2 linked regions of the Saccharomyces cerevisiae S288C genome follow. The protein of the gene in region 2 binds, or shares a complex with, the protein of the main gene of each other region. Each region holds a gene or a part of one and is shown on either strand. Other genes may lie near its edges.

Region 1 (4,974 bases), on a different chromosome or scaffold from region 2:
AAATCCATTAGGTAACGGTACCATTATCTACCCAGATAATGTAGCAAAGAAGGGTGAATCTACTCCACCACATCCTCCTGAGAACTTATCCTCATCTTTCTATGAAAAGAGAAAGAGAGGTGCCACTGCTATCACCACCAAAAATGACATTTTCGTCATCAACATTCATTCCAATAAGAAAACCCTATCCCATGGTTTCCTAGCTCAAATATTTACCATCCTGGATAAGTACAAGTTAGTCGTAGATTTAATATCTACTTCTGAAGTTCATGTTTCGATGGCTTTGCCCATTCCAGATGCAGACTCATTAAAATCTCTGAGACAAGCTGAGGAAAAATTGAGAATTTTAGGTTCTGTTGATATCACAAAGAAGTTGTCTATTGTTTCATTAGTTGGTAAACATATGAAACAATACATCGGCATTGCTGGTACCATGTTTACTACTCTTGCTGAAGAAGGCATCAACATTGAAATGATTTCTCAAGGGGCAAATGAAATAAACATATCCTGCGTTATCAATGAATCTGACTCCATAAAAGCGCTACAATGTATTCATGCCAAGTTACTAAGTGAGCGGACAAATACTTCAAACCAATTTGAACATGCCATTGATGAACGTTTAGAACAATTGAAAAGACTTGGAATTTAAATCCACCTTTCTTCTTCACTTTAATGATAGAATATTAATTTTCCCTTTATATATATATATATATATATATACGCGCACATATATTTACATATATATTAATGTTTTGTAACCTATATTGGGGCGATTATTCCCTAAATGTAATGTCAGGGTTATACTGTATCAATTGCTAAAGTAGATCTCATTCATCGAGAGCATAGGATGAAATAAAAGATACAAGAACGTGGCGGACAAGAAGAAATTTTACGAAATAAGATCGGCTAAAGCTTTCGCTAAATGCTTCTTTGAAGTGAAATTTAACGGCTTGTACTTAACTTCAGGTTTTATAACGTATGCATGAAGTGATTGAATTGCGCAATTAGTGGTCCTGGAAAGCAAATCCCCATCACTGACATCACTAGTGATTTTATTTTTATCAAGCGCAAGATACTCGCATAATTTACCCATCACTTGATCAAACTTCGGGAAGGTAAATCTTCTAGGAACCTTTGTTAACTTTTCAATTTCCACAATTTTAAGGTGTGTCTCCAAATCACGGATGGTTAAAAAGTTGCCTCCAAATACCAAAGAGTCTACTGGTGTATAAACTGCATGAATATATCCAGCTGGAATCATAAACAAATCACCAGCATCTAATTCCATCGCAATACCATCCTCAAGAATATCACCGAGGAAAACACTATTTTGGTCTTCTTTTAAAGACCACTCAATATACTTATCTATGTTTGATTGGGTAGGTGGAAATAATAAAAACTTCTTCTGTCCTGAGATAACGTTATAATAAACAGAGGTACCGGCAAAATCCAAATGAAAATCCGTATAAGCATCCTTTACAGACATCAAAATATATTTGGTCACTTTTGGCTTGGGGTCATTCTCCTCCGCCTTCTCCCCATTGACTTTTTCTAAATGTCCATTGAAACTCCAAATTTTATCAACAAGATCATTCTGCCTAACTGCAGTGGGCCTCTCTAGTTCTAATCCCTCAATATTAGAGACTTCTAATGATATAACATTCCTTATTCGATCCCTCCTGTCTGGTTCAGTATTTGTAAAATATTCATTCCAAGATCCCAAGTTCCAATTTTCATTCATTTGTGATTGAACGTCCATTACATCAACATGATAATCCTCGCCTATCATTTCGGTGATATAATTAACTGTGAGGCATCCATTGTCTGTGCCCACATTCGGTACATATACTCCGCTATTCAGTGGATCGATGATCTTGTACGGCACATCTATATTATCAAACTTTTCAGCAAAGTCAGCGGCGTTTATAATATTTGAGCCATTTTTCCATTTTTCAAAAGATTTCATGAAACTCTCCTTATGAGGGTGATTCATTTTATCCCTTTTCGATTCACCCTCATTCAAAGCGATATAGTCAAGTAATTTCTTCTTTCTGAAATTATACCGCTTATTTATATGACTATCTTCAGGGTTTTCTTTATTCCTTTGCCGCTTTCCTTTTTGTGTGATGAGAGCGTATGCGGTAAGATATTCTCCTTCCTTATGATTAGGACAACGGTAGCTCTTGATTTGCTTCGCAGAATTTGGATAAGACAGAACTTCAGAACTTGTAAGATTTGAATAGTGAATGCGTTTCAAAGGCACGCATTTCACGTGGACCCACTGCGGGCAACTATCACACTTCACCCAAATTAATGCGCCTGGATTATCCTTCAACTGGCAATGCTGGCAAATATTGGGATCTTGCATTGCACCATAGCTTATTAGTATTTTGTTTTATGATCATTACGTCTTCTTACTCATTATAATCACCCACTTCTATTAGATGTTCTATTATGCCTTTAAATTGCATTGTAGGGTAACCTGTTGGGGGAAAAAATATCTAGGATTACTTTACATACTTAAATATGAGTCCATTATTAACAGTGTTACAGTTCTAACCAAAAAGGCAAGGTTCTACACAAAACTTCGGATGTTCAAGATGAATGCCACCACAGGCATAAAAATTCAAAACGGTATGCAACCTATCATCAAGGGAGCAGTAAGCTCCACATTTAAACGTGCTCTATACAATTTCGGTATCAAAGAAAAGAAGAGTGTCAATATTGAAATGGGGAGAACGCAACAAACAAAGAAAATCGATCAGTCTTTGTCCAAAAAACTTCCCAAAGGTACTATCTACGATCCATTTGACTTCTCTATGGGACGAATCCATTTAGATAGAAAATATCAGGCAAACAAGAACTCAAACAGGAACGATATAATGAAGTCCGGTGCAAATCCACTAGAATTTTATGCAAGACCAAGAATACTTTCAAGATATGTGACCTCCACGGGAAGAATCCAACATAGGGATATCACAGGCTTATCGGCAAAGAATCAAAGAAGACTATCGAAAGCCATTAGACGGTGCCAGGCAATAGGATTAATGTGAACTGTACTACACTAATGCTTCTCCACATGAAATAATTAAGAAAATAAGGCATTTCATAGTTCTGTCTGTAAATATACAATATGTAAAAAGAATCGCAATTAGATCTTAAGTTAAACTTATATTCATTCTTATATTTCTTTAATATACCCGTTTTATTCGCTTACTCGAATTTGGATTATGGTAATGATATTCACGCCAGAGGAATAAGCTGAAATTGACGAATAACTTTTCAAATAATTTTATTACTTCTATTATACAACTTTATAAATATCTAAGCTGCCATTTACTTAATAAGACGGGTTAATTGTTTACGCTTCATCTTCCTGACCATCTTCATCACATGATTTGACATCCCACTTCATTTTGACATCCCATCTACTAGATTTAGCGCTCCAGCTGACGTACTTAACAAACTCCAAAACACTTTCATCTCTCAAGACCAAATTGAAAGTATTCCAAGCAGGTGGATCATTAATCAATACTGAATCACCACTGTCATCCGCACGATAAACAGAAGCGTCTTCAACGTCTTCCTTTAAGTATTGCTTATTATCTTCGTCGTCGTCCATCATGTACAATTCGTAACCACCAAGCTCTCCGGATTCCCAACCGGCAGAAGGTGTCAAGCACAAAGTACCTTCCAAGACAGCATCGATTATATCTGGATTGCTTTTCAAAAGTTCATTAAAGCGACATTTGGTGGCCAATGTGAAATCCATTCCTGGCCTAAACCTTCTAATAAGGATTTGCTCACTGACTGGGCACAAAGAAGTTAGAAGAGCTAGGTATTTCTTGAAAATTGTGCTCTTGTGAAATACAGCTAGGTCAATCAACGCTAATTCTGCATCAAAATTGTTTTCCCTACTATTTCCGGAAGCATCGGAGATAATTTTAATTGCGTCCTTAGTAAACTGAAAGTTTGGCAAATCATTGTTATTCAGCGCCTCAAGAATATCAGCTTCTGTTTGGAAATTACGGTATTCCTTACCGTCGATGTACAAATAACGGGCTTTGTGTGGAGGAATAGCCGTTTTCCACGGAGCTTTCACATCTTTTGAATGATAAGGACATTCCTGTTCCAACTCTTTTTGTTTGATAACCTTCTTTAACAATTCTGATTTATCGTCATTTAAAAACGACTCAATTTGTAGAGAAGAGTTCTCAACAAACTGCTTTTGTAGTTTTTCGATACCTTTCGAGCTTAAATGTTCAGGAGAGATGTATTGAGATAGATAGGTGAACTCGGCTTCAGACAACTTAACCGAATCAGAAATCACACTAGTCATAGATTCTTTAGGTGTGTTATCAGTTTTTGCGCCAGCATCGCCCTTGAGCATTTTTTCAAAGTGCTTCACTTCATGAAATGATAAAATATTTCTCTCGTCCTTTGGAAATTCAAAATCTTCTAGGACATTAGATTCAATCTGCGCCAAAGTGGATGTGTTGTTACGGACCCACGCTTCTTCTTCACCAGGTATGTAACCTTCTTCGCCAACTTGTGGAATATGGTACCATCCTTGAATAGATAATCTGTGCTTATCAACTTTGACTTCTTCGACATCGTGGAAAGAGAAACCCGGTAAAACTTTGAAAAAAGCAATTTGATTGAACTGTGGAACTAGTTTAGCAGATGGATCGGAATGTGGAACGTTTGGTAAAATACTTGGAAAAAGTCTTAGACCACCACCATAATGCGATTTCCATTTTCTGTCGGGATCTGGTAGGTATAAAATGAAACTAATCCTTCTAGAGCCAATAACGTCATCATGAGTCAACAAGTGACATCCCTTTGTGTAAGTGTTGATGCTCATGTCGGTCTTAGAACCAGACAATTTACCAGCTTTGGTGACGTAGCCAAAAAAATCTCGATATTGCTTGGAATACAGAATCTGGCGCAGCTTGAACAAATTAGGCAAACGGG
Region 2 (5,265 bases):
TCTTGAAACTTTCCCAAACTGTTGTTTACATTTCTCTAAAACAAAAATAAAAACATGAGCAGGGTAACACTCAAGGGTCCTAAAAAAATTAGGTTTTATTACAGAAATTGTATAGGACATTTTTAATATTACGAGGGTAAATAAATAACAGTCACAGAATAGTATAGGTTATTAAGGGCTTCATGCGGCTATTTTGCCTATATTAATTTCTTTTTTTTTTCTTTTTTCTTTTTTTCCGCTGCTATCGGTAAAAGTTTCCGTTCTTGCTGGAACGAAATGGACAAAACTTAATTGTGATTGAAATTTTTCCAGTCAACAGTTTCGCAATGACGATGCCCAGCCGATTCTTTTCCCTTTAATTGTTATTAAGAAACATGATTATTCATAACTCTTTTCTTGTCGATGGGGGTTGCCTTTCTTTTTCGGTCTTAACTCCATTTATATTTATTTATTCATTTTTATCTATTTAACAGGAAACAGTTTTCTAGTGACAAGAAGGCGTATATCCCACTTAATTCAATATTAGAGTATTCGTATTTGGAATACAGGAAGAGTAAAAATAAGCCAAAAATTCATTACACCTCAATGACTGCCGACAACAATAGTATGCCCCATGGTGCAGTATCTAGTTACGCCAAATTAGTGCAAAACCAAACACCTGAAGACATTTTGGAAGAGTTTCCTGAAATTATTCCATTACAACAAAGACCTAATACCCGATCTAGTGAGACGTCAAATGACGAAAGCGGAGAAACATGTTTTTCTGGTCATGATGAGGAGCAAATTAAGTTAATGAATGAAAATTGTATTGTTTTGGATTGGGACGATAATGCTATTGGTGCCGGTACCAAGAAAGTTTGTCATTTAATGGAAAATATTGAAAAGGGTTTACTACATCGTGCATTCTCCGTCTTTATTTTCAATGAACAAGGTGAATTACTTTTACAACAAAGAGCCACTGAAAAAATAACTTTCCCTGATCTTTGGACTAACACATGCTGCTCTCATCCACTATGTATTGATGACGAATTAGGTTTGAAGGGTAAGCTAGACGATAAGATTAAGGGCGCTATTACTGCGGCGGTGAGAAAACTAGATCATGAATTAGGTATTCCAGAAGATGAAACTAAGACAAGGGGTAAGTTTCACTTTTTAAACAGAATCCATTACATGGCACCAAGCAATGAACCATGGGGTGAACATGAAATTGATTACATCCTATTTTATAAGATCAACGCTAAAGAAAACTTGACTGTCAACCCAAACGTCAATGAAGTTAGAGACTTCAAATGGGTTTCACCAAATGATTTGAAAACTATGTTTGCTGACCCAAGTTACAAGTTTACGCCTTGGTTTAAGATTATTTGCGAGAATTACTTATTCAACTGGTGGGAGCAATTAGATGACCTTTCTGAAGTGGAAAATGACAGGCAAATTCATAGAATGCTATAACAACGCGTCAATAATATAGGCTACATAAAAATCATAATAACTTTGTTATCATAGCAAAATGTGATATAAAACGTTTCATTTCACCTGAAAAATAGTAAAAATAGGCGACAAAAATCCTTAGTAATATGTAAACTTTATTTTCTTTATTTATTTACAGAACTCTGAATATACATTGATTGTTCACATTTTTTTTTTCTCTTCTCAATTTCCCTTGATTATATTCAAAAGGTTATTGGCCTCTTGAATGTTTCCCACTGATGGTCGACGTGCCCTTCTAGAGGTCAATGGTTTATAAATTGGTCTCTTATTGAAAAATTCTCTGGTCTTGTCATTTTGTGGTTCGAGTAATCTAGCGTGCATCGAAACAGAACCATTTTTCTCCATAGATGCCTCCAAGATCTCGAACAAGAACGTTTTCATTCTGATGAAATCTCCCATGGAGTTAAAGGAACTAGGTGGTGATTGGAAAAATACCACATCGGCCACAAACCCACCAATAGCTGCCAGCCATTTATTGTCGTTGTTCTCCTTAACAACGTTCAAGATTCTACCGGGTACTACAGTCCTTTGAATGACACCATTTGGTGAGTTTTTTAGCTTTCCTGGCAAGCTGTATGATAATCCACCTGTACCAATGATTTCAGTGTTAAATTTTTTATTCGTTTTTGTTTCCAACTTTTTGTTTAGAAACTTCACTACATAGTCTTCCAGCTTATTAGAATTCAATTTCAATTCATCCGGATGATTTTCCACCAGCCACTCTTTAAATTCATCTTGAAACGATCTAATTAGTGCTGTTATCTTCTTCAAACGCTTCTTCATAGCAGCAGGCGAAATATCTGTATCTCCTTTCATTTCTTTGAATAAGGACAATTTAGCATGAGACTCATCCTCAGGACGAGATATGTACTTGAAAAATGGATTTTGTCTGCCTATATTAGACACAATTGGTACTCCCATTTCTTGAAATCTTAGCCTATTCCATTGCGTACCGCCTCTAGGTTCGAATGTGGTAATTCTTTCCAACGTATCCAAATCGTTGTACACCAAATATCGAGATTTAATTTTCGAAGGAATAGCGGATTTCAACCCCCATTCTTGTCTGTATAGTGTCGATGGCTTAGTTTCGATGATTTGATGTGTTGGATGAAATTTTTTGCCAGTGTATGTCAATGGTTTATGATTGTTAGCTACTTGAGCTATTCTCGACCGTCCAAGCAACTCTGCCAATGTCATTTCGTTCAATTTTTTCTAAAATAAAGAAAAAGAAAAAGAAAAATGATCGAAACAGTCTCACCAAGGGTTGTAGCAAATGTCTGTATGATTTTTTTTCTTCATCACGGCACCTATTCGTATTGCTCCTTTAACTCTACATCTAAGTTCTTCATTCTTTGATTTCTCAAAACAAATATCACTGTCAACGTAAATATTACCCCGCGAGTTCTTTAACAATTTTAAGGGAAGGTTACTTAAGGTCATCTCTGAAGTAATGCCTTTATTTTATAACAAGGATTATTCATGATTATAAAAGATATCGGTAGTGTCAGTTAAAGGATATTTTAAGAAAAACCCCTTTGAGTGAAAGTATTACAAGAAAAAATGGCAGACTTGCCACAGAAGGTATCTAATTTAAGCATCAACAACAAAGAGAATGGTGGTGGTGGCGGCAAATCATCTTATGTCCCACCGCACTTGAGAAGTAGAGGAAAACCATCATTCGAAAGAAGTACCCCAAAACAGGAAGATAAGGTTACGGGTGGTGATTTTTTCAGACGTGCTGGAAGGCAAACTGGGAACAATGGCGGGTTTTTTGGCTTTTCTAAGGAAAGAAATGGAGGGACGAGTGCGAACTATAACCGCGGAGGCAGCTCAAATTACAAATCATCTGGAAATAGATGGGTAAATGGCAAGCATATACCGGGGCCTAAGAACGCGAAATTAGAAGCCGAACTGTTTGGTGTACACGACGATCCCGATTACCATTCATCTGGTATAAAGTTTGATAATTACGATAATATTCCCGTAGATGCATCTGGAAAAGATGTTCCTGAACCTATACTAGATTTTAGTTCTCCCCCTCTGGATGAGCTGTTAATGGAAAATATCAAACTTGCTAGTTTCACCAAACCTACTCCAGTACAAAAATATTCTATTCCAATAGTTACCAAAGGTAGGGATTTGATGGCATGCGCACAAACGGGCTCAGGTAAGACAGGTGGGTTTTTGTTTCCGCTCTTCACGGAGCTATTCAGGTCTGGGCCCTCTCCAGTACCCGAGAAAGCACAGAGCTTTTATTCTAGAAAGGGATATCCATCTGCTTTAGTACTTGCACCAACTAGAGAATTGGCTACCCAAATTTTTGAAGAAGCAAGAAAATTTACGTATAGATCTTGGGTTAGGCCATGCGTTGTTTATGGTGGCGCGCCAATCGGTAACCAGATGAGGGAGGTTGACCGCGGCTGTGACTTATTGGTGGCTACACCAGGGCGGCTGAATGACTTATTAGAACGCGGAAAAGTTTCTTTGGCTAATATCAAATACCTGGTATTGGATGAGGCTGATAGAATGCTAGATATGGGATTCGAACCCCAAATTCGCCATATAGTTGAAGAATGTGATATGCCCTCTGTGGAAAATAGACAGACCTTGATGTTTTCCGCCACATTCCCAGTAGATATCCAGCATTTGGCACGCGATTTCTTAGATAATTATATTTTTTTATCAGTAGGAAGAGTCGGTTCCACCTCAGAAAATATCACGCAAAGAATATTATATGTCGATGACATGGACAAAAAGTCTGCGTTGTTAGATTTACTGTCTGCAGAGCATAAGGGATTGACATTGATTTTTGTTGAAACGAAAAGAATGGCGGATCAACTCACAGATTTTTTGATCATGCAAAATTTCAAAGCTACAGCCATACATGGTGACCGCACACAGGCTGAACGTGAACGTGCCTTATCTGCTTTCAAAGCTAACGTAGCTGATATCCTGGTCGCAACAGCTGTAGCAGCGAGAGGTTTGGATATACCGAATGTCACACATGTCATTAATTATGATTTGCCCTCCGACATCGATGACTACGTTCACAGAATTGGTAGAACAGGCCGTGCTGGTAACACAGGCGTGGCTACTTCATTCTTCAATAGTAATAATCAGAATATTGTGAAGGGTTTGATGGAAATTTTAAATGAAGCGAATCAAGAAGTTCCCACGTTTTTAAGTGACCTGTCAAGACAGAATTCAAGAGGTGGAAGAACTAGGGGAGGAGGAGGTTTTTTCAATAGTCGTAATAACGGTTCAAGAGACTACCGTAAACATGGTGGAAATGGCTCATTTGGGAGCACGAGGCCAAGGAATACTGGAACATCAAATTGGGGTTCGATTGGAGGTGGGTTTAGAAATGATAATGAGAAAAACGGTTACGGAAATAGCAACGCTTCATGGTGGTAAGCAGAAAGAATAAAAGACTAATCCAAATATAGAACTCCTTTAATTTTTTTCTTTTTATTAATCTCCCTTTTTCCTTTCTTTATCTCTTCGTTTTCACTCCAGTACTATACAGTCATACGTTTTATGCATCCATTAGTCGATGAATTGACTCTTTCACGCTACTTGACCCACGGTACTTCAGTTTTATCAAGTTCCCTTTATTCTGTTGCTTTCTTTCTCTTTTTTTTTCCCAATTTCCTTTTTTTTTGCTCTTGTCCCAATCATAAATGGGTGAGTTTACCGTTTATTGGAATGGATATTTTGGAAGCCCTTTGTTTTTATAGAGAGGGAAAAATACGGAATATTTTTGAAATAGGTGGT

The links. The genes of interacting proteins can lie anywhere in the genome.
Region 1: MRP51 (region 2) and RSM18 share a complex: the UniProt entries of both Saccharomyces cerevisiae proteins name them as parts of the mitochondrial small ribosomal subunit.

What each region holds. Positions count from the first base shown.
Region 1 is NC_001137.3:252,050-257,023, reverse strand, and holds RSM18 (mitochondrial 37S ribosomal protein bS18m RSM18), read left to right. Parts: upstream 1-2,636; coding exon 2,637-3,053; downstream 3,054-4,974. Other genes in the region: HOM3 (aspartate kinase), read left to right, coding at 1-649; JHD1 ([Histone H3]-lysine-36 demethylase), read right to left, coding at 890-2,368; TPA1 (oxidative DNA demethylase), read right to left, coding at 3,362-4,974. UniProt on the Saccharomyces cerevisiae protein: Component of the mitochondrial ribosome (mitoribosome), a dedicated translation machinery responsible for the synthesis of mitochondrial genome-encoded proteins, including at least some of the essential transmembrane subunits of the mitochondrial respiratory chain.
Region 2 is NC_001148.4:324,051-329,315, reverse strand, and holds MRP51 (mitochondrial 37S ribosomal protein bS1m MRP51), read right to left. Parts: upstream 2,689-5,265; coding exon 1,654-2,688; downstream 1-1,653. Other genes in the region: isopentenyl-diphosphate delta-isomerase IDI1, read left to right, coding at 586-1,452; putative DEAD-box ATP-dependent RNA helicase DBP1, read left to right, coding at 3,052-4,905; YPL119C-A (uncharacterized protein), read left to right, coding at 5,029-5,265. UniProt on the Saccharomyces cerevisiae protein: Component of the mitochondrial ribosome (mitoribosome), a dedicated translation machinery responsible for the synthesis of mitochondrial genome-encoded proteins, including at least some of the essential transmembrane subunits of the mitochondrial respiratory chain.